Linked DNA regions of Tamandua tetradactyla. The protein of the gene in region 3 interacts with the protein of the main gene of each other region in a biochemical or structural test. Links are inferred from orthologs where the notes say so. Each region holds a gene or a part of one and is shown on either strand. Other genes may lie near its edges.

Region 1 (7,965 bases), on a different chromosome or scaffold from region 3:
GGCTTTCCTTGTCTCTACTCTGAGCCTATCTCAGACTCAAGCACAAGACAAGAAAGTCATTGTGGAAACAATAAGATTGATTGTGGAATTGATCTCCCACGGGGATTAGATAGGGATTCAAAACCTTCCAACCCAGACCCAGATCAACTGTAAATTAGAAAGACTTTAGGGCCCTGGGCTTTGATTTTCCAATACTATCTCTGAAAATTCTGTCCTTGGCTCTGTCTAGCCTGAAACCCTGGCTTGGCACGAGAAGAGATTTATAGAGTAAGGGCTTCCAAACAGACAAAGAAATCCCGATTCTTACCCCCTCCCCTCTCTCCCTATGGAATTCTTGCACGTTTAGCTGACCAGGGGGCATGCCTTCTGCCCTCATCTTCCCCATCACTTGCTTTCTCTCCAGTTCCTGGGGGAGGAGTCGCCCTTCTGGCTGCACGCCAAAAAAAAAAAAAAAAGGTACAGCTTTACTAAGGGGAATCCCTGGCTCCCCCACTGCACAAGCAGTGCCTTAAAGCCTGGTTCCAACAGCGACAAGAGTGGAAACACCCACTGCTCCCTGGCCAAAGTGCCCTTCCAGGAGGGCTTGGTGCGGTGACTCCGCGGGCGGCTCACCTTCGTGGTGGAAGCTGCGCACCGTGTTGGCGCGACTGGCCGCCCTCTCCAGCCAGTGGTCCGGGGCCGGCACTCCCGGCTGGCCCGAGTGCCTGCGGTACAGGTCCAACATATAGGGGGGCACCACGGCGTTTCTGCTGGGGGTGGGTCTCTGCTTCAGGCCGAACATGCTGAGCAGCCGCAACTCGAACTCGCTCAGGATGTCTTCCGAGGGCTGGGACAAGGAGCGGCCCGACGCCGCCGCGAACTTCCTCCGGCCCAGCTCGGGTATGAGGCTGGCCGCGCCGCCCAGGAGGACCTGGGGAAGCAGCAACGCTAGAAGACAGCGGGTCCCGGCCACCATGGTCGACCTGCAGACAGGATCGACGGTGAGTCACCGAGTTCCCGGCACAACATAACCCCTGCCCCTCGTTCGGTCTGCTGCCACCTCCTCCACGGTGCCCACCTGGCTTGCAACACTAACTGGGCTAAGTCAGAGGAGCTGACGCTCGGATATTTGGGAAGAATGGAGGGCCCCTCGTTCCACAGCCCTATGGCTTTCCCCCTCCCATCTCATTCTCAACCCATGTGCCCTCGGATTTGGGTTTCACCCCCGCCCCCATCGTTGCAGACTATCACCTCTTTTCTGCGACACCCACGCTGACAGCAAGTACAGGGAACCTGGGGAAACTGCCCCTGGATCCGACAAATCTGCGTCCCCTATACAAACCCCAAACACACTCACACAGCGCTCGCTTGCATATAAACATGCAAAAAATGGTGCATGTGACTTCCTTAGAGGCACCGTATAGACTTCCTGATACACACACCCACAGTCTACAACTTCCAGACCCTGTAAACTCAAGGCCACAACTTCCGAACAGCATTCGCAACTTGTGACCCACGCCCCGAACTTCGGGGGCGTCAGGGTAGGCTTCCCCACCCCCGCCCACCTCTACCGCAGACAAGATACACATACATCTCCCTGGGATTACGTGAATGACTAATAGCTAATGTTTCACGTGTCAGCTGTTAAAAATACAGTACAAGGAGGCACTGAAGTACTTCCCTCCTCGCATGTCTGGAAACACAGGGAGAACCCCAACTTCTAGTGCTTTTCCAAATGGAACGTGGCTCCACATAGAGAGCTGGTCTCCGGAAAAAAAAACTTGGAGAAGATGGCACTGCTACTGCAGGGGTACAGGTTGGCAGCTAACGGGTGAAATCCAAGGGCCACCCTCTCTAAAGGATTTTGATTCTCTCTTTTTTTAAAATCATCTAAGCGCTAACAGCCCTAATAAAATACCCAGGGGGTCGGGGGTCGAAGAGTGACAGACAGGCGGGCGAGATTACACAGTGGCCGGGGGCGGCAGGATGACGGCACCCCGCAGGGGTTCGGCTGCACGTGGACCAGGAGGGCGCTCTGTTTACGTCCACTCAGCCCGGCCCCTGGGACGGCTCAGCCGCTGCGGCCGTCCGAGCCCCGCGCGGGTCCCGCGTCCACCGCCCCCACCTCCGCTCCCCTGCCCCCCGCCCGCGTTCTCTACCTTTAGGAGGCCGTAGACCGTCTAAGAAGCACGCGGGGACACGTCCATTGAAAGAACCTCCACATGGAAAAAGCTCTGGCCGAAGGACCTGGCGCGGGAACTGGGTGTCTGCTCCCTTCCTTTGCCTTCTCTGCCTCCTCCCGGGCGCCTGCTGGGCAGCGGCCCTCTCCGCACTGGGAACGGCGTTTAGGGGTCCGGACCAGCCGAGGAGCAGACAGGCGGCGGGGCTCAGGGCCGCGAGGCTGGCCCGGCTGGGAGAGAGGCACCGGCACGAGAGCAAGTTATTCTCCCTGCAAGTTCAAGAAGTCTCCAGCCAAGTGCTGACACACAACAACAGCGAGCGGGGGGAGGACTGCGGGGCAGGGAAGGGAAGGGAGAAAGGAAAATCTGGTGCTGTCGTCGTCTTTAGGAACCAGCGCCCGCGGGACGCGTGGCCCCGCACAGGGCCGGCTCCGGGACGCAGGGGGCGAGGGTCGGGCGCTCGGCGCTAGCTCCGCCGCGGCCCATGGCTCGGGGCAGCCATCCTGGGCGACGCCGGTTCCGGGGAGGGGTGCAGCGGCTGCGGCGATCTCGGTGCCGGGCGAGTTGCCCCCCCGCATCACTCTGCCTTACTCCAGCGCACCCCCATTAGCGCTCCACTAGCGAAACCGCCGTGGTTCCGGCGCCCCGTCGTACTCGGGCGCATTCTCCGGAGAGAGAGTCGAGTCGAGTCGAGTCCCCGAGCCGCCAAGGCGGGGTGGCCGCGCTCTTCGAATCCCCCGGTGCCAAGTGCCCTGCCCTTTGTGGCCAGCCTGATGTCCGATCACAACTCAGGCGGCGCGTCCCGGGCCCCAGCACCGCGGCGGGGGGTGCTCGGCATCACGGCGCTCGGGCTCGGCTCCCAACTCCCCGGCGTTCTGCGCGGAGCTCCGCGGCTCTGTCGCGGCCCGGACAGCCGAGGCCACGGCGCTGCGGCGCGCACTGCCGGACGCTTCAGCCCGATCCGAGTGCGCGACGCGGGGGTGTCTCCGAGCCCCCGAGGAATCGGCGCGGCGCTCGCCTCCAGGGGCGTCCGGGTCTGCGGTGGCGGTGGCGGCGGCGGCGGCGGCTGCTGTCGGGCGGCGGCTGCCAATCCCCGGCGGGTTGTGGGAAGCTGAGCGGCGGGCGCAGCGCGAGCCGAACGCGGCGCGGCGGGGCGAGGACTCCGGCGGCGGCGGCGCCGTGGCGCGGCGCTCCCGGCTTTTAAAGGGGACGCCGCCTGCCGGCTCCCTCCCGGCGGCGGCCGAACACCTCCCCCTTGGCTGCGCGAGCCGGCGCAGTGCGCGGGGGATCCCCGAGCGGGCGGGAGCGGCGCGCAGGGGTGTGGACGGCGCGCCCGAGCAGCGACGGCGGGTGGGGCCGCGAGCGGGAGCCGCGTGGCCGAGGGGGGCGCTCGCGCTTCCAGCCCCTGCCCTCCAATGGGAGAGGATCCCGAGCGCCCGACCTCGCGGGGGCTCCCGAGGTGAAATCCGGACAAATAAAGGGTCAGGCCCCAGTTTCCCCGCGGGGCCCGTTATTCAACTTTAGTTTGAAGGTTTTTTCAGTAATAGGCGATTAAAAAACAAACAAACAAAAAACCCATCCAAGTTCGGGGGGATGTCAAAACGGTGGAGTAGACACGTCTGTGTTTTCCCGGGGTGGGGGTAGGGGGGGAGAAGAGAAAGAAAACCTTAGGCTGGAAACTGGGTGTGTTTAAACCCTAACACTTTGGTGTACATAATTATATCGTGTATGTAGATGTAGGAAAACTAAGACGCATTCCATTAATATGTGTATACATGTGAAATAGATGTCAACCCGCTGTATATGACAGATGTGCAAGTGGACTGTGTGTGTACCAGCCGAAGAGGACAGGAAGGAAGGGTTTTATCTTTTTATGGCAGCAATCACTTCGAGCTGCCATATCGATATTTATCTCGCCTGGCTCGGGGGCATGAGATTAGCAGCCCAGAGGACAGTAAAAAGCGCACAGCGTGAGCCAGGCATACAAGATAATTCCGGTTTGGAACTTTAGAAACTTCTGACCCACCCCCCACCCCCCACCCCCCACCCCTTCCGCCCCGCCTCCAGCAGCGAGGCTATGACTTGTGGTCAAGTCGCTTTTCCTCTTGAGCTCACATATTCCCCAAAGCTGCTGCCCTTCTGCCTCCTGAGTCTCGGGGTCAAGGCTTCTTTCTCTCCCAGAATTCCAGGAGTCCCAATAGGTAGCGGTGACCCAGTTGTCCACATGATCCCCTAAGCCGAAAGCTGAAAAATTCTGGGAAAGTTTTGGTTCCCCAAATCGGTTGGCTTGCACCAGAGCCTTGGTGCCTGCAAGCAAAGAGATAGAGAAATCAGATGCAAGAACTAATAATAATCTATTATTCCTGTGTATTATTTTTCGGTTGGGAAGTTAAAATAATTCTAGGTTCTGCTCACATAAATCGGATTAGCAACCCACAGAGGGGAATTAGGGACTCATTGTTTCTGAAGGTATAAAGGTCAAGTAAGGTATTTTGGAGTAAGTTTGCCTACTAGGAAACTAAAAGGGGAGTTTGTGTGCAAAATATACAGAAACGTTTTTCTCTATTCCCTGAAAATAAAGCATAATAAAAGCTAATTGTCATTCTGAATCATTCCACACCGGACAAGCAATAAAACATATTCTTCTCATCGACCCAAGTCAAATAGTGTTTATTGTGCTTTTGAAACGATTTCCTTTCCTATCAGGTTTGAGACGTTAACAGCAGGTTCCGTTATTGGTGAGCTTTCAGTTTCGAACCTATGTAGCCTTGAAAAAGGAGGGGCAAGTTGATCGCTATTGGAAGCACCCCAAGCAAACACGGAAACCAAATTTTGGTGATGACATCAAAGATGTTTTGCAGCTTTAGGCCTTCATGACTTAAGAAAAGAAGCTTGTCTGTTTATGGACTCATCTTTGTTCGTCAAGAATCTGAGGGAAGATGGGCACTGCAGGGCCCTCTATTCAATTTCCGTGTTGCCCATCACAGGATCTCTTCTGGTGGGAATGCAATTGCTGAGAGGCTGCCGCATGCCTTTCCTAAGCACATCTTCCTAAATTTTGGCCTTTCTCCCTTAAGAGCCTGGCTCTCTGGTTGTTTTTTAGAGATGGCTGCCCTCTTGTGGTGGAAATGAGTCAGAACGCCTTCGTGGGGGTGGGGGGGGGGGGAGTCAATACATAAATAAAATAAAAATCATCTCCTAAGGACTGGTTTGGGGTACTACGTCCTGGATGGCCACATCTACTGGTTTTCCAATGCCAGGCAACAGAAATAGTTAAAAACGACACATCTAAATGGAAATAATCTTCCTTTCTTTCATTCTCTTTGTTATTGACCTCCCATTACTTTGAGGGGGCAGTGTGTGTTCGCCTTGAAGATACTACTTATGACTAGCCTTTGTCAACTCTACATTTCTCAGTTTCAGTCAAAGTTATCTCACCCAAATGGCAAGATTCATTCTTCCTTGGTATCAAATTTGGTATGTCTGCCAATAGATGGGGGTAAAGGGGTGATTGGAGGAGAGGTGGTGGTTGCAAATTCAGATGCCTTAAAGGGGATACACGAAAAGCATGCCAGGTAAGGATTCCACATGCAGTAGGTTGTTGCTACTCCATTCCATTTTTCTTGCCAGCTTTTCAACAGATACAGGAAATCTGCATTTGATTGTGTACGGACATAGCCCAAGGTGAAATTAATTGCTTAAAGAGTCATCCTTTGGCAACTTTTCCTTTAGCAGTCCAGCCCAGATAATGTTTAATTTTATTGCATCCTGCAGCTGCTAGCATTCAGCCTTGTTCTTACTAGACCAACCATTATGCAAATTAACATTAAAATAATGATCCCCGCATATTGTAAAGGTCACAGCAGGCATTAAATAATCCATTTACCTTGTAATTGTCATTCTGTTGAAACCTGTGGCAACTTCCCTGAGAAAACTCTTGGCTTTTTAGCATACCTATCATTTACTTCCCATTGGGACACCAGATACCAGTTCTTCACCCAAATGAAGTTCTTTCTGAGGAACCTGGAACCACAGAAAAAGAGCAGCGTCTACTCTAACAAACTCTTACCTATTTGGTGTTTATTTAACTGGACATGGTAGGAGGCATGGATGGAGTGGACATGTATGCCAAGTCAGAGTCCCGGCTTTCAGGCAAATATAGGCTATAATTAAAAAATGTCATCGCTTGTACCCATCTGTTGATAGGGTAAATAGGCTCTGTTCTGCCGCCTCAACTGGTAATGATGGGCTGGAGAATTTTTAAATGTTTATACAAACACAAGATGCCATTTGCTACTTATCTGTGTATCTTTAAATATAGTTTTCAGCTTTCTGCCTGAAATATGGCCTGATTTTGAAAGATAAGATTTTGTATGTCTTTTGTTGTTTTAACAGTTTTTTCTTTTTTTTATCACATTGCTGTACGGTGAGGTATTATGTCATAAAGCTCAACACCTGGATCGATCTAAAGCAATAACTAATCTCCTTTCCTCAGCTTCCTCAGGAATAAAATGTAGAGATCAATATATGACCTTCTCATGGGACTGACATGAAGAATGCATGAAAATATATATGCAAAGACAACAAAAAGTTGCAAAATTTGAATCACTATATTTATGCAAACTAATGTCATTTGTACTTAGAAGTTATATTTTTGGCTTATGTTATTTTTTTCATACTCCATAGAGTCCAAAAATATGGGTTGAATGAATACATGCTTCTGAAAAATAATTATGTCTTCCCAAATACGTGATTTTAGATAGCCATTAAATATTATTTAGTTAACATATGTCAATATATTTGTATATCTAGTCAGTGTATTAAAATGTGTTGATCTTTTGCTAATTAGATTACAAAGCGCCCACATGGTATTTCTCTTTGCATATTCATTCTACAAAAATTTACTGAGCAGCTAGTATGTCCATGACATTATGTCACTCAGGTCCCAGAGAATAGAAAAATACATAATCTTTGCACGTAATGTACTTAGAATTCAGTGGAAGTGATGGAACATGTTCACAGATTATCCATATAAGGCATATGAGATAAGAGTTTCAGAGAAGTGAGAAGCAAGTGTGTCAGGTTTAATGGAGAGCAATCTCACTTTGAAATGTGAGTCCAGTAAATTCATAGTAGAGAGAGCATTTGAAAGGAATATTTCAGGGAGAACAGAGATTCAGTAGGATTAATACTTTACAAATGTCAGCAGTAGCAGTAGCAGGATTTCCAGCAACATCTTTAGTTTCTGAGTTTAAAGAGTTTTACTAGCTGCTTTCTGTTTGTTGTTTCAATGGATCCTCAGAAGAACCTTGCTCATTTGACAGATGCTTAGAAAGGTTAAGCCATTTTCCTAAGATCTCACAACTAGCATGTAGGAAGTCCAATAGCCCATTCTAGAATCCATGCTAATGGTCTCCCAATTCCAGACAGTAGGAGCAGCCAAAAGCCAAGACATCAGGATAGGAAAATGTAGGCTGCTGTTTTGCAGGGCACAAGGAAATGGTTCAGATTTGGAGGAGGGTTTGGATCGGGGTAAGGTAGTTCTAGAAGATTACTCAACTCTCTAGGCAGGGTCCTGGCAGAAAAACGAGGGCCATGCCAAAGAGGCCGTTTCAGAGCGTTTAATAAAGAAATATTTTGCAAAGGTGTGTGTAATGATAAGGACTAGTGATGTACCCTGCCTCTACACTGGGAAGCCAAACCAGGACAGCTGCAAGGGCACAGGAAGAGCAGCTTCTGGAACCCTGAGAATGCGTGTGCTGAAGGAGAAGGCCACTGGGCAGGAGTCTCTTCTAGAGTGCTGGCA
Region 2 (7,917 bases), on a different chromosome or scaffold from region 3:
TCAGGACCAATGAAATACCAGGAAACTTTCACGGTGACTTCCCAGACAAGACACCTTGCCCGCTCCCCCCTTCCCCTGCCAACCCCACTGGAGGTGTGATGATGGATGCGGACCTTCCCAGCCATCCTTGTAGACACAGAGGTGGATCATCGGGATCCATGGCGGTGGAAGCAGGGCTGAGAGAGGAGGAAAAATCGCTATGATTTTGCCTGTCCTGGAGCTCAAGCTGTACTAAAGCCGAATCGCGGTTGAATTTTCCAGCCCCCATTTGACACTCACAATCCTTTTTTGCTTAAGCCTGTTTGAATTCTCCTTTCCTGCGACATGCAACAACAGGAATTTAAATGATACACAACTTTACAAACAAAGTAAGGAGCATACCTGTATAGTCCAAGCTTGTGCACATCACACCTGGATACCCCAAGTGACTTCAAGTATGAATCTAAGGCAAAAATTACAGACACTTTTTCCCAGTGTCTCTTACATTTTTTGCCAGTGGTTCCTGTGTGTAAGATCACAGACATAAAATTATTATAAATCAGGTCTTCAGTCTTTGAATAATGGCATGGAAGGACTTCCCTAGAAAATCCAAGTGGCGTGGTAAAAATAGTACTCCATTTGGGGGAAGAGGAGGGGGGGAAAGAAGAGCTGAATACAATATAGTTTTAATTTTTTCTTTTTATTAGTGGTTATAGATTTACAGAAACATCATGTGAAAAATACAGGGTGGTGTAATGACCTGTAAAATATAGTAGCAGAATTCTGGCTTACCATGCCAGAGACCTGGGTTGGATTCCTGGAGCCTTCCCATGCAAAAAAAAAAAAAAGATGTATACACAGATACATAAATAGATAGCATTTTCATATACCCCCTGTTGTTGACATTTGGCATTAGTGTGGTACCTTTGTTACATTTTGCAGGAAAACCCTGGATCTTCTGGAAAAGACAGAACAAGACCCAAAGAAATGATGAAAGAATATTAAAATTGTACTACTAACTATAGTCCATTGTTTACATTAGGGTGTATTTTTTCCCATATACCGCCCTATTATTAATACCTTGTAATAGTGTTTCATTTGCTATAATTCATGAAAGAACATTTTTGTAATTTTGTAATTAACTATAGGCCATCATTTATAATAGGGTTCACCGTGTTGCACAGCCCTATGTTTTATCTTTTAATATTTATTCTAGTAAAGATATATGACCTAAAGTCTCCCTTTTTAACCACATTCACATATATAACTGTTGCTCATTGTTCTCACAATAATGTGCCACCATCACCACCATCCATTTCCAAAACTTTTCAATCAACCTAAATAGAAATTCTGTGCAAATTAAGTGTTCACTCCCCGTTTCCTACCGCCCACCCAGCCCCTGATAACCTAGATTCTAACTCTGTGAGTTTGCTTTTTCTAGTTATTTCATCTCAGGGAGATCATAAGCTATTTGTCCTTTTGCGTCTGGCTTATTTCACTCAACATGATGTCTTCAAGATCCATCCATGTTGTTCCATGTCTCAGAACCACATTCCTTCTTCATGGCTGAAAAGCATCCTGTTGTATGCATATGCCACATAGTTATCCTTGCATCAGTTGACGTTTGGATGGGCACTTAGAGTTGCTTCCAATTTTTGGCAATTGTGAATGATGATACTGCGAACATTGGTACATAAATATCTAAGCGCCTGCTTTTGTTTCCTTGAGGTCAATATCATCTTTCGGGCTCGATCGAGTCTGCCCCTCCCTGAGGCCCCGGCACTAAACAGCAGCCGGTCACTGAGCGAGAGGGGGGCCTTTTGCGAGAGGATCCTGGATCTTCTGGATAAGGCAGAACAAGGCTCAAACCTTTTCCCCTATGGCCCAGAGTTAGGGAAATCTGTTCTGATAGACTCAGACCTATGTGTACCAAAAGATAACAAGGCTCCTGAAATCAAATCACCTTGAAAAAAGTGGGGGTTGGGGTAGGTGACCCAGGCTCACCATAGAAACATATGGCTTGTCAAGGAGGGCAGGTTGGAATCTGGAGCATTGCCACGGCTGCCTCTTCTCTCCACCCAGCTGCCCACCACAGAGCTGTGCCTTCAGGAGGATGGGTTAGCACTAAGTGTGCCTAGAAAACTGTGCCCTTGGTGCCCCCAGGAGATGTCACCATCACCTGGGGAGAAACCCGGAGAAGCTGGAGCACCCTGGCAGCTGTGTGCAAGCAGTGGTTAGATGTGTAGGGCCCATCCCCAGCGGTAGATGGGACCTGCTGGGACCCCACCTTCCCACATTCAGAAGCTGTCACCTTCCAACCCTCATCTCCTCTGGGTTAAATAAACTCCTGGGGCCCTTGGACAATCCAGAAAGGGATGTCCCAAGAAGGAAAGATTAGAAGTCCTGGCAAAATGGATCTGGAGGCCTCCAGCACTTTATTTAAAAAGCACTGAAGGAGGGGTGGGGAATGGTGGCTCAGTGGCAGAATTCTCGCCTGCCATGCTGGAGGCCTGGGTTCAATTCCCAGTCCCTGCCCATGCCAGAAAAAAAAAAAGCACTGAAGGAGCTGTGGACCCCCTAGTTTTGGGGGTAGGTAACACCAGAAATATGTATTATCCAAGGATGCTGCATTACACACCCACAGGAGGGTCCATGCAGCTCCAAGCATGTCCAGCCTCCAGGGGCATATGTTTTAAAACAATTCCGTAGTCCTTTCCCTGACATTCCAAAATCCAAAGTGTCTTTTAAATCCTTTCATGGCAAAACTTCACCTGAAAGGACATTTATATCTATTTATTTGTTTCACTGCAGAAAATATTGATCTGTTCTCGATTACAGGGTGTTACCCCCAGCTGCACTGGAGATGTTACAAAGTTCGTGCCATATTAAATGTCCCAAATATAAAACTTCCTGAATTCCAAATGCTCCTGGCCAGGGGGTCTCCAGTCAGAGAACTGTGGAGCTAGTTGCATCTCAAAATCTCAACTGCGGCTTTGCGGGGCAACAAGATTTGTGGGTTATTTCCTTCTTTATCATGTCCTGCAGTTTCCATAGTTTTCCCACCCTGTAGTACCATCATCATCAGAAAAATGAAACATTCTGTTACATTTTTTAAATATCAAGTAGCAGCATCTTAACCCTTCCTGAGAGCTTCAGGTGGCTGCCGCTTGTCCCCCTGCTCAGCCTTTTCGATATGAGAGGCATCTCAGGTGACTCCAGGGACCCGAGTGGGGTGAGGGACCCTGCCTAGCCCCCAGTACCTCCCTCCTCCCTGTTCTGCGAGTCGCAGCTCCACTTCCTGGCAGTCCCCAGCTTTGCACCATTCATCTCCTCTGCTGGATGGAATTTTTGCACTGAGCTGGCTCCACACCCAACATGTTTCTTGCTCCCTCTCCAAGCAGCCCTTCTGAAGCTGCGCCCCCTCCCCAGGAGTATCCCCAAAGGATGGGACAGCAAGTAAGTTCTGTCCAGGACCCACCGTTCTGTAACTCCTGGTCTCACCTTCCCCGACTAGGGGTTGGAAAGAAAACTGGGCATGCACGTGGACTTGCTGACCACAGGCCAGCTGTGCCCCCTCCTGAAACTTCCGGAACCAGCTCAGCTCATTGCAGCCTCTCCCCGGGAGCCCCACCGGGGCAGACAATATCACATTCAGATCCTCCCCAGCATTCCTTGCTTTGGTCAAAGCCACACGTGACACGAATGGACAGAGCCTCAGTGCCGCCATCTAAGGGTGTCCTGCTCTCAAAATAGCACAGTCCCTGGGGGGCTGGCAGGCCCCTCTCTACTCAGGCCATAGTCTCCTTGGGTCAGAGGTCCAACCAGGCACCCATCGGCCTCCGCACCAGAAGTCAAGGCACTGCCCCTTCCCCTCCCCTCCTCAACTGCCCAGAGCGCCCTGCTTTCCTGCTGACAGATGTGGCCCCGGCGGCTGCCCGATTCACATGAGCAGGGCCTCCCAGCCTGGGATGCAGGGGCTCCAGCCACAGCAGCTGGTTTGGGGTGTTCCTGCTGAGCAGACTGGGGGGCTCGGGGCTTCCCCACCATGTCCAAGCTCAGCCAGACCCGGGTGGGAGCTAGAGCTCCACCAACCACCAGCCAGCCGAGGCTTGCCCTGTGTTGTCCCTGTGAGAACCACCCTGAAGTCTTCAGACCCCCATCCTTTTGAATCCTGAACACCATCTTCTGGAATAAATACCCTGAGCCCCAGTTTCCAGGTGCCAACCTAGAAGCTCAAAGAGATTCCATGAGGTCATTGCTCAAGGACGAATAAGAGAGGGCATCTTTGTCACCAGAGGGTCTTTGTCACCAGATCTAATTAGACATGCCCTATCCATGCATGTGGCCTAATGCTCCAGGGCTGGTTTTACAAAGGAGGAAACTGAGGCACACAGAGGCAGGATCTGCTTCCACGCCCAGCAGGCGTCTGTGGCCCTAGGCGTTTGGTGTTGTTGCTTCTATATTCGGAAACCTCTCTGGTATCCCTTGTTTCCTGGGTGCTTTAAGTTTCTGAGGCCTGAGAGATGGAGGATGCATCACCCACCCCACCCCCGCCCCCCGCCCCCGGGCCCCAGGATTGCTCAGAACAAGAGCTGGCAAGGAAATGGGAAGGAATCCTAATTAGGGGGCGATAACCCCCCGGAGAATGTGGATTCCTCACAGTGTGCACTGGCCTTCCCCAGGCCCTGCGCCCTGGGCAGATGTTTATAGAGCCTTCATTAACACAGAGAGTCGCTAGATAAGGGGTCGAGCGTGGCAGCGAGGGCCAGATAAGCGCGAGAGGGGGACGCGCTCTGACGGCGCGGAGAGCTTGTGCCGGGAGCGGCAGGCCGATGCGGGACCTCGGGGCCAGCGCCGGAGCCCGCTAAGGCACCCGGGCGCTGCCGCCATCCCCGCTCCGGGGGGCCCAGAGCGCCTCCCCAAGATGTGTGGCGGGGGTCTCCGGGCGGCCCTGCCCGCGCTGGCCCTCCTGTCCTGCTGCGTGCGGGGGAAGCCGCTGGGAGGCGACGGGCGGGCGTCTGGGGGGGCCAAGGCCCCGGGCCCGCGTGGAGGCCCCCCGGGGGTGGGGGGCTTCGACCTGAAGATGCTTCTGGAGAATATGCGGGTGGATTTCCTGCACGGCCTCAACCTGAGCGGGGTCCCCGCCCAGGACAGGAGCAGAGCAGAGCCGCCGCAGTACATGATTGACCTGTACAACAGGTACACCTCTGACAGGTCGGCCACGCCCGCCTCCAACATCGTGCGCAGCTTCAGCGTGGAAGGTACGGCGGGGGTTGCACGGGGCGGGGAGGGTGTGGGGGTCGGCGGTCCCGGGCTGCACCGTCCCATGGGTTGGCCACCAGCCCCAGGAGGCCAACAAAGCCAACCTTTAAACTAAAACTAAATTTAACTTTAGTTCTTTAGTTTCACTAAGTGCATTTCAGGGGCTTAATAACCATGGGTAGCTAATGGTTACTGGGTGGGACAATGCAGATCATAGAACATTTCTGTCAATGCAGAATGTTCTGCGAGCCCCATTGCTTCACAGTGCTCCCTCTCCTTCTTGGATCTCTTATACCCCTTCCCTTCCCTTCCTGCTGGTCCTCTTCCCTCCCCTATCCCTTCCTTTTCTCCCCTTACCATCCCCTTCTCTTCCCCTTCCCTTCCATTTCCTTTCCCTTTCTCCTCTCCTCTCCCCTTCCTTTCTCTCCTCTTTTCTTCCCTTCCCTCCTTTCCTCTTTCTCCCTTCCCTGTCCCTCTCCCTCTTCTGTCCCATTCTGACTTACAAACACTCAACTTATTTAATCCCCTACTAACTGGCATGTTTGAAGAACGCTCTATTTCTCCCTCATGATTTTTTAAAATTCAGGTAAAAACCATTGAAAGAAAAGCTTGGAAAAGAACTAATGTTTGTTTGAAATAAGTGTCTAGGAAGACTAGAAGCTAGCAAATGTTTGCCTCAGGGCAATGCAGTTCACTGGCTTCAACCCCACAGGAAGTAGGGTGAAATGATTTTCGGAAGGGATGATGAGGCTGGAGATGCAAAGGGAATTTGCCCGAGGTGAGGTTCAGGGGCATGACTTCAACCCAGCCCTCCAGTCCCTCCTGAACAGCCCAGAGCGCAGAGCCCTCCCCGCCCCGTTCCCCAGGCTTCAACCCCGGGTCTGTAAACCAGGTGCCAGCAGCTGGCCAGCTTGGTCATATGCCTGCCCAGTGGGGCCAGATCATCTGATTGCTCAAAAGAAGAAGAATCTGGGTTTAGATTAACTTACCTGTTTTTTTTTTAAAAAATGCCAGTCACGGGTCACCCTGATACTGCCAGCATCCCGCCAGGCCCAGGGGTACAATGGTGAACCCCGCTTTAGGGCCAGCTGGTCTTCTTTGGCTTTTTTCCCCTAAATCCCATAGTTGTGAGTCCAGCAGCCTGGGGCTGTCTCACTGGCCCCATCTCAGCAGGGAGCCGGCCACTGGGCCGCCTGTGGTCAGATCCCAGCTTACCTGCGGGTGGGAATCGGGCTTCCCTTTGGGCAGGGTCAGAGCCCGGGGAAGGAGGGAGGGAACTCGCTTCCAAGATGTCTGATTGCCATCCCAAAGCCACATTCGAGGGCTGCCACAGCTCCTGCCATGCAAACATGCGGCAGCTTGTCACATCTTCCAGGAGCCCAAGAGGTGCTTGTAGGCTGAGTAAGGGAACCAGGAGAGCACATGCTTTGTGAGAGCATGCGGCAGGCGTGGGCAAGAAGGGGGTGCAGGGGGGAGACAGAAACGTTTATTGAGCATTGGCCAGACATTGGGTCAGTTTCACGCAGCATTTCGTTAAGTCTCACTTTATCCCTGGGAGGAAGGCAAGACGACCCCCATTCTATAGATGAGGAAACTGAGGCATGGCAAGATCCAGGACTCCAAGGTCACAGCCCTGGTGAGAGGCAGAGACAGTTCTTCAGTCTGCCCGACCCCAAAGCCTAGTGAGTTTTCACAGCAGCACAGGATTTCCCATTCACATGGACCCGTCCTGGGCACTCATAGATTGACATGTCCCTTTTCTCTTTGTGAACTGGCCAGGGCATAATAGAACTTGCTAATGGCCACATGTCACCACAGAAGAAGGGAGAAATTGAGACAATTTGACTGTTAAACAGAAAGCCCCTATTTTTACCTAAAATGCCAATAGAGCTGAGACCAATTTTCTTCCCCTCAAAACACCAAGAAAATCACGCACATGCACTAGGCTTGGAAGACACCATTCCAAATGATTTCTAAAACTGTTTCAGCTGCTGAAACTAGCACGGTCCTAATGTTGTAATTTCAACGTCCCTTTAGAATCACGTACTCGGGGTCTTCACTCTAAGGTTGACAGGGATTTTGTCTGTCTTGTTTATTTGGTAGTTTTTTTCTTAAGTTATGACATAAGTTTACATGAAACAGGTAAGGGCGTTTAAATCCTTCAGATGTCTAAATCCTTAAGATTTAACAACGTACATGTGAAACGGGCAGACTTTGGCAGTTAAGTGCTCTGAGCCCCCGTGTCCACATCTGGAGAACTGGAATTAGACCCTCCTAGGGTAGGAGTGAGAATGAAATGGAAACATATTCCGTAAAGCTCCTCATTCAGTGACTGGCCCATAATGGGCAGTCATAAACAGTTAAGAACTGTCAACCCCATTCGAGGCATCTCCTGCCTTGACTTTTCTTTGGAAGACCCCCAATTCTCCTTTCAAAATACCCTTTTACCCTAAAGGCTTAGGGGAAACTGAATCAAGATTGAAAAGGGCCAAAAATGCACAGTAACTCGCCCCCCAACCCCCATTCATGGAAACCAGGAGACTGGAGGCTTTGATGCCATGAAACCGGGGCCTCCCACATGTATTTGCATTGCAGATGCCATTTCCATAACCACCTCGGAAGACTTCCCCTTCCAGAAGCATCTCCTGCTCTTCAACATCTCCATTCCCAGGCACG
Region 3 (7,704 bases):
GAAGAGTAGATAAACCTAGTTTTTTACAGATTATAGAATTTTCTGCCATGTAACAGCATGAGATTTGCCAGTAAGGGCTGGTTAATGGAAATAAAACTTGGTACAAATGTTAGTTGTTGGCAAGGATAGTTTTCTCGAAAATACAAACATCTGTAAGAACTTCCTTTACCTTCAAATTCAGTGAAAGTAATTATGCAATTTTTTTTCACTGATGTAATAGAAAGAGCAAACATTCTACAGGGAGAAAGCCTTTCTGTACCAGGGTGTGATGATATATGATGTGACCTTGGGAAAATTTAACCTTAGTTTCTTCATTGGTGAAGTAGAGTTTATAAAACCTCCTTACAAGATTACAGTGGGGATGAAAGGCTACACACAGAAGTGAGGGCATGCACACAATACATACATATATATATACACATACATGGTCTAGAAAGACTACATAGGTACATATGAATGATTTCCTCTCTCTAGTGGTGAATTTATGGCTTTATTTTCTTCTTTTTAAAATGTATTTTATAATTATTTCTGATGAGTATTGCTTTTGTAATTAAAAGTTATTAAACTAAAGTCTTTATAACAAGGAGCTCTTAGGAGTCTAATAAACATACATTTATCTTTTACCTTGAAAAAAAAATATATATATACACATACATGATATGTGTTATATATATGTTTCATATATATATATGAAACTCTTTAAACTTCAAAATGTTAAATCAGATATGTTAATTATTTGGAGTAGAAAGCAACAGGACGGGTTCAACTGAACTATAATTACACTTCTGACTCAGGATTTGTGGTGCTTTATGGATACACATTTATCTTTAAGTTGTGAATAAAGGGCCTAATCTGTAAACAACTGCATATAAAATGTTAGAGAAATGTTTATTATTTACAGCAGCCTACAAGGCACTGCATGATATGGCCCATCTACAACCTTATGTTTTGCCATATTGGTCCTCTGGTGGTTTCTCCTAGAAGCCATGTATTTTTTTAACTCCTCCTGAGCTTTTTTCTCTTTTACCTTCCATTAATACTTATGAAGGAGACTTATCTGTCTTCATCACTATAGTTTCCCCAGTGCCTGGCACAAAATAGGTGCTTAATAAATATTTGTAAATGAATATTGAATACTTTCAAGCACGTAGGACATGGGTCCATGACTTTTTTTTAAACAGCCAGATAGTAAATATTTTAGGCAGCCTTTGTTGAAGTTATTGAACTCTGGCATTTGTTGCATGAAAGCAGCAATAGATATTTTGTTAATGAGTGACTATTAGTGTGTTCCAATAAAACTTTATTTATTAGACACCAAAATCTGAATTTCATATAACTTTCTTGTATCACAAAATATTCTTTTGATTTTTTTCAACCATTTCAAAATATAAAGACCATTTTTTAGGGGGCTCTACAAAAACAGTCTGCAGACTGAATGTGACCTACAGGCTATATAGTTTGCCTGTCTCTGACAAAGAATATTGTATTGGTAGCATCCCTCCTCCAACTTAGAAATATATTGTGTTCCAAAAAGTTTGCTTGGAACCTAGGAAGTATTTTCTTATAGAATCATTGTTATATGTGTTGATTAAGTGCCAAGACCAGTGCACAAGCCAGTTTTACTTCCTGTGTTCTGTGTTTCAGCAATACAGTTTTACCCCAGGAATAACACTGTCTCTAAGGAAAATGGATTTAGTTTTCCTTGTTTGTCCAGAAAGAACACCGGCACTCTCCTCAGCATTATCAAAATTTCCTTCTTCCCTGATTTGTCTTCTCTGCCTGCTGAACTTTACATTCTGGGAAGTAGCCATCTCTAAGCTTCTGGGGGCTCCAATAGAGTGGTGTGATGGCAAGACTAAAAATAAGTTGATTTTTTTCTTTTTAAGTTCAGAAATTTACAAAAATTAGCAACATACTATACTCACCAAGTGACAACTTTCCCATATCCCCCCGAAACCTCTAATCTACTTTCTGTCTCCCCAGTTTGTCTCTACACATTTCATGTAAATGAAGTCATACAATATTGGTCCCTATGTGCCTTTCTTATTTCACTTAGCATAATGTTTTCCAAGTTTATCCGTGTTGTAGCTTATATCAGAACTTAATTCCTTTTTGCAGCTGAATTATATTCCATTGTCTGTATGTACCACATTTTGTTTATTCATTTCTCTGTTGAGGACAACTGTTTTATTTTCCTGCCTTTTGGCTGTTGTGAACAGCACTGCTATGAAAGTTGAGTCCATCTTTTCAATTTCTTTGGGTATATACCTGGGGTGGGCTTGCCAGGTTATATGGTAATTCCATATTTAACTTTCTGAGGAACCATCTGAGGTGGATGTTTGTTGCACTTACTTCCAACATGGGGTCCTCAGTGTGTGCATGATGGAGAGGTCACAGGGTTGGCTGGAGGCGAGGAAAGGTGAGTTTTCTTGGTGAAGATTCTCTAATCCTTGGTGAAGAGTCTCAGCTAAAGTGCTCACTTGCACTGGGCTGAACCTCGGAACCCTTTGGAACTAGTGTCCCTTTGGGAGGGGTTATCAAAAGGCATGGGAAAGGGCGGACCACGGTGGCTCAGCAGGCAAGAATGCTTGCCTGCCATGCCAGAGGACCCGGGTTCGATTTCCGGTGCCTGCCCATGTAGAAAAAAAAAAATGAAAAAAAAAAAAGGCATGGGAAAACTTTGGGGTGGCTGTGTTAATGTTTCACAGGTTTATGCCCAGACGTATCAAATTATTTACTTTCAATATGTGCAGTTTATATGTCAATCATACCCTGATAAAGCTGTTTAGAAATGAAATAAAATTAAACCTGCACTCCTTCCATCACACTCACCACATTTTGAGTGCTCAGCTGCCATGTGGGGCTGTGCAGATGGAGAATATTTTCATCATTACAGAGAGTTCTCTTGGACAGTGTGGGTCTGGAGCAAGGCCTTCGACAATGGCTGCACCATTTTACATTCCCACCAATAATGCACGAGTGTTCCAATTTCTCTGCATCCTCTTGAACACTTTAATTTTCCTTTTTAAAATAATAGCCATCCTTGTGAGTTTGAAGTGGTATCTTCTTATAGTTTCCATATGCATTTCCCTAATGGCTAACCATGTTGAGCTGCTTTTCATATGCTTATTGACCATTTGTGTATTTTCTTTGTAAAAATATCTATTCCATCTTTTAATTGTTTTTTTTTTGTAAAAATATCTATTGTCCATCTTTTAATTGGTTATTTGTCTTTCTGTTATGGAGTTGTAGAAGTTGCTTATATGTGCTGAATATTAACCTCTTATCAGATATATAATTTGCAGCTATCTTCTTCCATTCTGTAGATTGTCTTTTTGCTTTCTTGATGTATAAAAGTTTTTAATTTTGGTGAAGTCATACTCATCTATTTTTTTCTTTTATTGTTCATGTTTTTGGTGTCTTATGCAAGGTTATGATGATTTGTCCCTATAGCATAAGGTGTTCTAGTTTGCTAGCTGCTGGAATGCAACACACCAGAGACGGATTGGCTTTTAATAAAAGGGGATTTATTTTGTTGGTTCTTCAGAGGAAAGGCAGCTAACTTTCCACTGAGGCTCTTTTCTTATGTGGAAGGCACAGGATGGTCTCTGTTGGTCTTCTCTCCAGGCCCCTGGGTTCCAACATCTTTCCCCAGGGTGACTTCTCCAAAGGCCTGGGCTGAGCTGCAAGTGCTGTGATGAGGAATGCTGAGCTGCTAGACTGTGCTACATTGCGTTCTCTCATTTAAGCACAAGCCAATTAAGTTAAACGTCACTCATTGCAGCAGACACGCCTCCTAGCCGACTGCGGATGTAATTAGCAACAGATGAGATTCACCTACCATTGGCTCATGTCCACAGCAACAGAACTAGGTGCTTTCACCTGGCCAAGTTGACAACTGAATCTAACTACCACATGTCCACCCCTTGTCAACTTGGCAGCTACTCACATCACCTTAAACAGGTGCAAAATATTCTCTTCTGGCTGTGGACCTGTGAATCTCAAAATAAGTCCGGTGCCAATATGCAAAGGAGGATAGTCAAAGGATACAGATTTTCATTTCCATAGGGAGAAATTGGAAGGAAGATCTGCAGGCAAACACCATTGGATTTCCAAGTCTGAAAGTCATTTATCCTTCGGCTGTAGAAAGTGGCAGTCCCACCCCTTCCAAGGGCCTATGCAGTGGCCGGCCTCTTTCCAAATCAACCTTGGGGAACATCGAGGAGACCACCTCTGGGCTCCACTCTCTCCAGGCATCAGGGCCACCCCTGGGCTCTCTGCCATTTCTGGGGCGCACGCTCAACCCCTCCACATGGTGGCAGCCAGGCTCTCCCAGTCCCCCAAGGAGCGTGCTATGCCTTTTCCAAGGCCCGAGGCTGCACAACTATTCCACTGCAATGAGAGGGGAGACTCACCCTCTCCACACATACAGGTGGGCCCACTCTCCTGGCCGAGGTTTCTTGGCTTCAGACACGAACTTCCATGGTTCTCACTCTGCAAACTCCAACCTCTCCCTTTTGTGTCCTCCTTTGTCAAGACTGGCGGTGGTTTCATTTACACCAACAGTCTCTTCAAGCCCTCCAAGACTTCTCCATCAATCTCTTCACAGTTCCTCCAAAGTCTTCCCCTTAGCCATCCAAAACACAGTTCCAACAGATCTGGCATTTGCAAACCGTAGCAGCACCCCACTCTCCGGTACCAACTCTGTTCTAGTTTGCTAGCTGCTGGAATGCAACACACCAGAGACGGATTGGCTTTTAATAAAAGGGGATTTATTTTGTTGGTTCTTCAGAGGAAAGGCAGCTAACCTTCCACTGAGGCTCTTTTCTTATGTGGAAGGCACAGGATGGTCTCTGCTGGTCTTCTCTCCAGGCCCCTGGGTTCCAACAACTTTCCCCAGGGTGACTTCTCCAAAGGCCTGGGCTGAGCTGCAAGTGCTGTGATGAGGAATGCTGAGCTGCTAGACTGTGCTACATTGCGTTCTCTCATTTAAGCACAAGCCAATTAAGTTAAACGTCACTCATTGCAGCAGACACGCCTCCTAGCCGACTGCGGATGTAATTAGCAACAGATGAGATTCACCTACCATTGGCTCATGTCCACAGCAACAGAACTAGGTGCTTTCACCTGGCCAAGTTGACAACTGAATCTAACTACCACACATACTCATCTATTTTTTTCTTTTATTGTTCATGTTTTTGGTGTCTTATGCAAGGTTATGATGATTTGTCCCTATAGCATAAGGGTTTTATGATTTTAGCTTTCATGTTTAGATTCTTGGTCCATTTCAAGCTGATTTTTGTATATAGTGTGAGGTATGAAAGGTTCAACTTCCTTTCGTTTTTCAGTGGAAATCTAGTATTCCCAGCGCTATTTGTTGAAGAGACATCTTTCCCCACTGCATGTACTTGGCACCCTTTTTGAAAGTCAAGTGGCCACGGATGTGTGCGTGTATTTCTGGACTCCCAATTCTATTCCATTGGTCTATTTGTCCTTCTTCTAGTGTCACACTGTTTTGGTTACTGTAGTTAAAGTTTTGGAATTGGGAAATGTGAGTCCTCTAACTTTTTCTTTTTCAAAATTGTTTTAGCTACTTGGGGGCCCTTGAAATTTCATATGAATTAGAGGATCAGCTTTGTGAATATGTGTAAAAAGAGCTTTATGTATTTGATTAGAAAGGGGAGAGCATGGCAGAAGGGTGAGGGGAGAGATAGAGTGCAAGTTAGTTTGTTTTCAAATTGTAGGTCCTAACCCATTGGAGAAAGTAAGAAAGTAATAAAATAGGAAATATTAGAATGACTCATAAATAGGGTAATATTATTATATGTGTGTATGTACTGGGTCACAGTGAAAAATGTATTTCTTAATGTGGTTTTTGGTCAGGAGAATATCAAAGCTGTATTCTACAGGACTTGAGATACTGATTGTGCTAGTTTGCTAACTGCCAGAATGCAACACACCAGAGATGCATTGGCTTTCAATAAAAGAGTATTATATACTCTTTAGTTAACATTATAGTTCTTCTGAGGAAAGGCAGCTAACTTTCAACTGAGGTTCTTTCTTACATGAGAAGGCACAGGGCGGTCTCTGCTGGCCTCTGGGTTCCAACAGCTTTCCCCGGGGTGATTCCCTTCTGCATCTCCAAAGGCCTGGGTTGAGTTGTGAGTGCTGAGAAGAGGAATGCTTTGGCTGTGCTACGTTGAACTCTCTCATTTAAGCACCAGGCAATTAAATCAAACATCATTCATTGCAGTAGACACATCTCCTAGCTGACTGCAGACGTAATCAGCAACAGATGACGTTTACATGCTATTGTCTCAGGTCCACAGCAATAGAACTAAGCACCATCACCTAGGCAACTTGACACCTGAACCTAACTACCACACTGATCCTGGAATTTTCCGTTATTGTATATAAGAGCCAAATGAAAAATATAAAAAAACCTCTTCACTGCCTGCTATAGTGTGTTTCTGGTGCTGTGCCTTATGAGGAAATTACCTGTTTTAAAGATGAAAAAACAGGATCATAAAACTAATAAGCCTCATAACTGAGATTCAAACAGAGGCTTGACAGTAGTTTAGAATATGTGCTTCATCCATTATGCCATGTTCTCCTTGCAGGAAAAGAAGCCATGCATGACTTCAGTTTGTTTCACCGGGGAAAAAAGTCCCAATTCAGGTAGCTCACCTGATTTCTTAAGACAATGGTTTGACTAAAGTAATAAGATTAGGACCACTGGAAAGGAGTGAAGGAAATGGTTAGGGATCCTATATGAAGAACGACGCAATATATAAGAGAGGAGGAGGCTCTATCATTTTGCCTTGCTTTTTTCTCTTTCTTCCTCTGTACTACTAACCCTGCTCCTTTATATCTTACCATCAGTATGGACTTTTAATTAATAGACATAACAAAAAATTGAGAATTGAGGGTTAGTGGAGAAAAGTAACATAATCGTGCCTTTAACTGTACGGGGAATGAAGAGGGAAACCGAAGTAGCAACGCCACCTGGGTCCCAGCAGGGTTGACCCCAGGTGGCAGTTTATTAGTGGGTGTAAGTAAAACAGGACCTGCTTTTTAAATTGTGTTACAAACAGCATTCTTGGCTTTGGAGACTAGTAGCTTTGATATGCTAATTAAAAGTAATTCTCTTAAGAAAAAGTGTCCATTAAGCAACATTTGGTTAGTCCAGATTTAGTTACCAAATATAAGTACTTAAAAGTCATAATATGTGTCTTTAAATCATCTAGTTTCTTTTATATATTGAGTTAACAAGTATGGTGAAAACTAATTCGGGCTAATTCTGAACTCTAACCTGATTTGAAATTATCTTGAGGAGAAAAGGATTGATGGGAAGGCTGTTCTTAACTAGAAAAGTAAAAAAACCCTAAGAGACAGATTCCTGGTTTAATTGAATGCAAAGATGGCATACCTTATAAAATGTGTTCTTCTTTCCCAGCCTGAGTTGAGATTCTTGCTTCTGCAATGGAAATTACTAACCCATATGGAATTAGTTTCCACTAGTAATATCTGAAGACTTAAATGCTATCTTTCGGCCCCATTGCTTACCTCTGTGTATTGCTCACTATTCTATATTATAATTGCTTGTTGATATGTAAATATAACAGCTGGCTCTAATTTCTTTGAGATTCATTCAGTGTAGTATTAAGTTAGTGTTGCTTGTAAGTTAAGATCATTGGAGTCAGA
Region 4 (7,014 bases), on a different chromosome or scaffold from region 3:
ATTATTAAATGAAGAGGTTGTCTTCTTGCCAACCTCTACTTGCTCGAGTAAAGAAAAGCTAGATTTAATTCTCAGAATAACTGAGTTCAACATTCAAATATCAGAAACTCTCAATTTGAGACAGGAAAAAAAAAAGGGAGCTTTATAGACTATAACCAAGCTGGGCTCCCACAAAAAGAAAAGTGACGTATTCCACAAAGAATAAAAGCTGTTGGTAATTGAATCATATACCTCACAAAAGACTAGTTCAAGTCTTAATCAACATTCCAGCGGGTGTGAACACAGATGTCAATGATATATCTGAAAATGTTAAGTGAGTCAAGAAGTGGACTCATTTGAAAATAGGATCTTGTATAGTCCTTATATAGGTGTGATCAAACTGAATGAGGGTAGGCCTTAATCTATATGACAGGAGACCTTATTAAAAGAGGAAATTCTGAAGCGCTCAGGGAAATCAGAAGTCAATGAAAGCCACAGAAGGAGAGAATGAAGCAGAACACCATATGACAGAGGAATGCCATCACCAAATTGCTACCCATTCCAGGAGAAAGTATGGCCTTGCTAATATCTTGATTTTGGACTTCAAGTTTTCAAAACCATGAGACAATTTTTTTAATGCTTGTTATTTAGGCCAATCTACTGTATGGTATTTGTCATAGCAGCTCTGGCAAACTAAGATAAAAGGTCAATGTCCAAACCTTGAAGGCACTTCAGATTGTAACCACTGCCTTTGAGGATTCTTCAGATCAACCACAGTTTGTACAAAATGGTAGGAATCATATAATAATATATGGAATAAGCCAAAGAATCATGAACTGTTAGAGTAGGAAGAAGCGTCAGAAGTCTTCTAGACCAAGCCTTTCCTTTCAGTTGAGGAAGTAAGCACAAGATAGATGCCAAGCTTCTTCTTGTCTTCCCAGACACTCAATTAATTGCCATTCATTATTTCCCTTGCAAGAAGCAGGATCAGGGAGGAATAGGTTCTTTTGCCTTGCAAAATGTGCCCAAACAGTAGAAGCTACGTGCTGCAAAAGTAAACTATTGGATTCCTGGTAGGATATCATAAGAAGTGAGAATGCTGCATACAAACAGAAATGCATACTTGTAACCAGTGGCTTTTCCTATTTTTCTATAGAAAGAAAGATCCCTATGGGATGACCAAAATTATCTGGAAGTTTCTAGTGATAACTGAGTTCTTCCCTGTATATTTTCATATGATACAATGAAGAAAAGCTGAATTTGACTCTTAGACTTCTCGGGAGTACCACATACCACGTAGCCAGCTCTGGAAAGTGATAAACAGGAACTTGACCTTTCCTTGACTTCCAATGACTTCTTCATCCAGGTTCAATACTAGTTTTGAGGAGCTATTGTCCTAAGCTCTTAAATTCATGGGCTCTCATGAAAATGCTTAGGAAAATTCAAGAAGCCACACCATGGATATATTCATTCATTGTGGATAAATACACATACAATAGAGAAACTGAGTCTCTAATTAGCTAGATATAATTGTTCCATTTAAGTAGTGCCCTGGAGTTTATTTTAACTCCAATGATTCAGAAAAATGCTAACACTAAGAAGTTAAGGTCTGCATTGTTTTCATTGGCTCTATGAAAAGAACTAGGGCCAACAGATGAAAAGCAAAGAAAGACAGATGTTGCTTTAATAATAACTTTCATGTTACCTTGAAAAGTCAATAACTATTAAGAATAAGAGGAGAAATTTACATAAAATAAGAAAAATGAATTCAAGAGATTTGAGCATAATAAATGAACCTCTGACAAAAGTTTAGGAGCTCAAATGGAGCAGATTAACTATGAGTGTGATATTCTCTTAAGTAAAGTCTACTTCTAATTTTTTATAACAGGAAGACAAAGTATGGCTTATTCTGAAAGTCACATTTTATTACAAATAAATGTAATGGTTAAGCTATCGAAAAATTCTAAGAGGTGATGATGGGAACAGAAAGAAGTGGAATGATTTCAGAAACATTTCAGAGATAGAACTCATAGGACTTGATGATTTATTTATAGCCCAGTGGAGTTAAGAGTGTGTGTAGGGAAGGGGGCAGGGGTGAGCGCTGAGAGAAAGAGGGAGGCTAGCAGGGATAATCGTAGATTGAATTGTATCAGAATTACATGCGGTGTTGTTTAAAAAGAAGAAAAAAATCCACACTGAATTCATATCCCTAACGGAAATTGACGTTTTTATTTAAAAAAGGGGGGGGGGGGGCAAAAAAACCCTGGATGTTTTGAGGCGGAACTAGGTTTGAGAATTGCTATAACAGAAGTTCCCTCAGGCTTCTTTCCGCTTTAACATTCTAGTTGAGGCTCTAAATGACTTTCCCAGAAAAGAAAAGAGAGGAGATCCTAGCACTACGAAAACAGCTATGCATTCCGAATCCATACCGTTCATGCTCCCAGTTTTACTAAATGGTCCCTCATAGGAACTGGGATAGAGCAGGCAACGGAAAGAACGGTGTGATATCCACGGTAAACTGGCTTAAAAACACGTGTGCCTTTTCTTCTAGGTTTTTCTGCCCCGTTAATGGGGGAAAAAAAAAACTTTCCTAACTCAAATACGCGGGGTAATCCGAGTGAAAGATGAGATGAATTGCTGAGTCCCGTGTCTGGGCAACGATGTTTGTCAAAATATTTCTTTTAGGTACCGGCAAGCGTTGCAGGAAAACTCTAGGTTGGGGCCTGCAAGCTCCGAGACCAAGTGAATCCGGCTGGGCAGAAGCGTCTGCTATTCACTTATACCCCCAAGTCCCCAATTCAGGCAGGACCCGTTTGGCACATACCTGTAGGTCCTCTGGTAAGGCTGATCTCTTCTTCAGTGATCAAATAATCCACTCTTCCATTCATGTTTTACTGCTTTGCTTTCCTGGCTTCCCACTTGGGTTAGGTAGAGCTCCTTACAGGTGAAGGTGAATCAGTCACCCCTTTACACCCGCCTATGGTACAGCACTTTCGGTTTCAACAGCCTCCGGACCGGAAGGGGAAGTGGGGGGTGCCTGGAGCGCTGGGAATGCTGGGAGTCGTGGTTCTCGTCCCGACCCGGTGCGTCGCCTCACCCGCTCTTCCAAGCCAAACCTGAGGTGAGCAGGGAGCGGTTGCGATCCTGATTTACTGTTGAAAGCATGGAGAGGCATTGGAAAGGTAAGGGACAGAAATGAAGTGTTATGCTTGGGGAAAAAGTAAAAATAAAATACCCTGCCAACCTAGAAAATCTCCATAAAAAATAGAAATGAAAAAGTGTTTTATTATTCATAAGTATTAAATCTGTCTGTAATGCATATTACAAGCAGGCAGCTAATGAGATTGCAGACAGAAAGAACCCTCACTTTTTTATATTTCCAAACAGATGTAATCAAGACCCTTTCTCTTGACCAAACTGCCAGCATTACTCCTTCATTTGCCCCTACCCGCTTCCTGCCCCTGACTATCCTGAAGCTAATTTTGGAGTTGAGGGTCAGCAGAGAAAAACAACTCGGACTGCAGGGGGGGAAAGCAAAAAAAGAAAGAAAGAAAACGTCGGACTGTATTCTAAATATCAAACTTGCCCGGACCGCCCGGTCTCTCTCTTTCTCACACACGGCTACTCAATAAGGGATTCGCCCGTTTTCTCTTTCCCGGCCCTTCTAGGCTCCAGGCCACCTAATAACGCAAATGAAAACATTGCAGACCTAGTAGTCCTAATGGCAACATTAGTAAATCCCTTACTTATCTAGGTGGAATCAAACCACCCTAAATGCAACCTCAGTTAATTGCTCACCTACCCCAGTGATCAATCTCTCTTACTATTTTCCAGTGCTTTTCTTCCAATTGACTCCCAGCCCTTAGATGGAATTGAGTTCCACTCTCTCTCTCCTGCTATGGTAGCCCCTAAATAAGTCATCTTTGTCTGCTTAACTTTGTCTGGTGTAGCTTTGTGCCGCCCCCCCCCCCCCCGCCCAGATATAGTTCATTGTATGAATGTTCTCAGGTAAGACTACTTGACAATACAGTTTGGTGTACATTATTTGGTAATGCACTCTGCAGGTGGCCGTCTGCATTAATTAATAAATGAAAAATAAAACTTCCCTATCCTGATGACAAGCAAGTACTTACCACTTAGAGGAAGGTGCATAGACTAACAGCGTCTCTGGTGATGGGAGATAGAGATACTATCATCCTTGATATATGTATTTCAAAGAGTTGGCTCCCAGACCCTTAAGAAAAATATCTTTGGGATGTACCAAGCGAGAGGCTTATTTAGCTTTTGAAAAGATTTATACTCATATCAAAGGGACAGAGGAAGGATTTACAATGACAAGTTTTCTCAAATTCTCTAAGAGAGAGGGGGAATGTCCGTTTCTCTTTTGGCAACAGAAAAATTAAATCTTTTAAAAATTTACCCTTACTATATATGTACTACCTTGTTGTGATTTCAGCCCAGCCCTCCTGACTTTTGGGATAGGACATTCCAGATTCAGCTTAAAGGAACCTGCTATAGTCAAAAACTCAAAAGCAGTAAGGACCAGGAAGGTGACTTGAATGTGTGGCACAGCCTTGAGCTAGACTCTAGGGATTGGTGCAGACCATGAAGGATTGGAAATTGAAGTCCAACATAAAGGAATTCAAACTCAGATTTAAAAAAACAAACCAAAAACTGTATTCACTAAACAAAACAAGACAGAGGCATTCAACAGGAAAACCTGTTTGCTAACCCTGAAAGAAATTAGTATGGATAATGGAAAGAATATAGGAGATGATGCTAGAAGACATGATCTCAAGTTTCAGTTCCTTCTCCTTCCTGTTGTTTGCTTTGGGCAAGTAGCCTAACATCTCTGAACTGTTTCCCCATCTGAAAGAGTGTGATAATAGCTCTTTAAAAGACTGTTGAATGAATTAAATAAGATGAAATTTTAAAATTTATTTTTTCAACTTAAAAATCAGTCAGGAAAAAAAAAGCTCAATCAGATTCACAACATCCTCACTTCCAGTTCTCCTCAGGAAAACAGCTCAGTTAATTTGATTCAACACAAATTTATTAAGCACTTGATAATGTGTCAGGCATTATGCTAGATGCTGTAGATATAAAATTAAAAGATTAAAAAAAGAAAAGAGGAAAAAAACATCTTCTACTGTGCACGTCTCTTTCAGTTTAGAAAAAGAAGTAGAATGGTAAAATTACAAATTATGTTAACATGGTAGGATATCTACAGTAATAAAGGCATTTACAAGAAGCAAAAATATAGAGTAGTCTGAACTAGGTAAGAATTCACCATGTCTGGGAGTAAATCTGGTAGTGACAGAGAAAATTTTATTGGAGAGTCATGGCTGAGTCAGGTTTAAAAGAATAAATGTGTCAGTTGACAAAGAAAGAGGAGGTCATTCTGATGCCAGAGAGCCCTCAGGAGTTCTCCAAGAGGTGGAGACCTCAAGCAGGGCTGACGCCCTGAGCCTAATTTTTAAGTCATAGGAAGGAATTCAAGGACTAGTCAGTGTGAACAGCAAGAAAAGTTTAATAAGTGGCAAAAGTACTGGCTTGAAGGGGGCGAGTGTCTACTGGGGTTGGGATTCCTGCATTTATAAGGACTTGGAGGGACCCCTCCCCTTTTGTTTATGCTGACGAAGGATAGAGCAGCATTTCTCATTGGTTCTTTTCCATTGCCAACTGGAGTGAAGAGTAGATGTTCATGTACCAAAAGGAACTTCCTGTTGTTTTACTCTTTGCTAGTGATGGGTCATAAAGTCACCTTCCCCTCCCTCCTTCCCTATCTGCCACAATTCTAGCCAAATGAAACAGTGTGTTAACAGGAAGAGGGCTGGGAGTGTACGAGCCTTACAGCATCCGGGCGGATCGGGTCTTTCCCGTGCTGCCGGCCCACCTGAGTAGTGTTCCTTGCCCATTCCCGCCCTTAACGCCGCCGCTGCCCCTGGGGGCTTAGACGTGACCTCCCAAGCGCCCGGTAGCTTCTGTTGGGTCAGTGACATGAGCGATCCACCAGGGTGCTTCCTCGGTGCCACCCAGCCAGTTGTGCACCCGAGTGGCCGATCTCTTTTCCGTGGCCTCCGGTTGGTCCAGGAGAGCTCATGCATCACCTACACGGTGACCCAGCCAGACCCAAGGTCTGGGCCGAACACGCACCACCAGCACCTGGCATCATGAGGCACCTGCCCTACTTCTGCCACAGCCAGGTGGGGCTTCAGTCTTGGTTCCAAGCAGCTGGGTATCCCCACTGTTAACTTTACTGAACAAGTAGATAATCTTCCAGCTGATATAGCCAATGTCATTTATTATGGTTGGGCCAGAGATGGAAGTGGAGATGTCTATAAGATGGTAGTGAGCATAGTATGGAACCCATAATACAAGAATACGAAAAAGTCCATGGAAACTCACATCAGGTATACCTTCAAAGAGGAATTGAGGAAATACTCAATGTGGTGGCTGTTGGCAAACTCAGACCATAAAAGAACTTTGATTCTTTAGAATCACTTATTTCAGCAATAAAAGGTGATATTGAGGAAGCGAAGAAAGGACTAGAATTAGCAGAACATTTGAAATTTAAGACAATTTCTTACAGATTCATAAACGCAAAATAATGAATGGCCACTGCTGAAAAATCATCTTATGTATTTGGTCTAGTTTGCTAGCTGCCAGAATGCTATTTATCAGAAATAGAATAACTTTTTAAAAAAGGAATTTAATTTTTCAGGTTTACGGTTCTAAAGCTGTGAAAATGTCCCAATTAAAGGAAGTCTATAAAAATGTCCAAATTAAGGCACCAACAAGAAGTTATCTTCACTCAAGAAAGGCCGATAAAGTTCAGGGTTTCTCTTGCAACTGGAAAGCCACATGGCGAACATGGTGACATCTGCTAGCTTTCTCTCCTGGCTTCTTGTTTCATGAAGCTCCCCCAGGGGCGTTTTCCTTCTTTATCTCCAAAGGTCTCAGGCTGCCTGGACTCTCGTGGTTCTCGTTTGCTCTCTCTCTCTCCAAAATGCTTCCACTTTTAAAGAATTACAG

Evidence for each region.
Region 1: the proteins of ACVR2A (region 3) and BMP2 form a complex in vitro, tested with the Homo sapiens proteins (3 studies listed by BioGRID and IntAct, with this or other methods). The link is inferred for Tamandua tetradactyla from reciprocal best matches to the Homo sapiens genes ACVR2A and BMP2.
Region 2: the proteins of ACVR2A (region 3) and GDF2 form a complex in vitro, tested with the Homo sapiens proteins (2 studies listed by BioGRID). The link is inferred for Tamandua tetradactyla from reciprocal best matches to the Homo sapiens genes ACVR2A and GDF2.
Region 4: the proteins of ACVR2A (region 3) and SYNJ2BP form a complex in vitro, tested with the Homo sapiens proteins (2 studies listed by BioGRID and IntAct, with this or other methods). The link is inferred for Tamandua tetradactyla from reciprocal best matches to the Homo sapiens genes ACVR2A and SYNJ2BP.

What each region holds. Positions count from the first base shown.
Region 1 is NC_135327.1:54,115,578-54,123,542, forward strand, and holds the start of BMP2 (bone morphogenetic protein 2), read right to left. Parts: upstream 3,016-7,965; 5' UTR 2,139-3,015; intron 963-2,138; 5' UTR 956-962; coding exon 613-955; intron 1-612. UniProt on the Homo sapiens protein: Growth factor of the TGF-beta superfamily that plays essential roles in many developmental processes, including cardiogenesis, neurogenesis, and osteogenesis. Induces cartilage and bone formation.
Region 2 is NC_135339.1:8,348,217-8,356,133, forward strand, and holds the start of GDF2 (growth/differentiation factor 2), read left to right. Parts: upstream 1-4,903; coding exon 4,904-5,240; intron 5,241-7,836; coding exon 7,837-7,917. UniProt on the Homo sapiens protein: Potent circulating inhibitor of angiogenesis. Signals through the type I activin receptor ACVRL1 but not other Alks. Signaling through SMAD1 in endothelial cells requires TGF-beta coreceptor endoglin/ENG.
Region 3 is NC_135329.1:117,679,267-117,686,970, forward strand, and holds the start of ACVR2A (activin receptor type-2A), read left to right. Parts: upstream 1-4,696; 5' UTR 4,697-6,584; coding exon 6,585-6,678; intron 6,679-7,704. UniProt on the Homo sapiens protein: On ligand binding, forms a receptor complex consisting of two type II and two type I transmembrane serine/threonine kinases.
Region 4 is NC_135338.1:28,569,448-28,576,461, forward strand, and holds the start of SYNJ2BP (synaptojanin-2-binding protein), read right to left. Parts: upstream 3,003-7,014; 5' UTR 2,868-3,002; coding exon 2,804-2,867; intron 1-2,803. UniProt on the Homo sapiens protein: Regulates endocytosis of activin type 2 receptor kinases through the Ral/RALBP1-dependent pathway and may be involved in suppression of activin-induced signal transduction.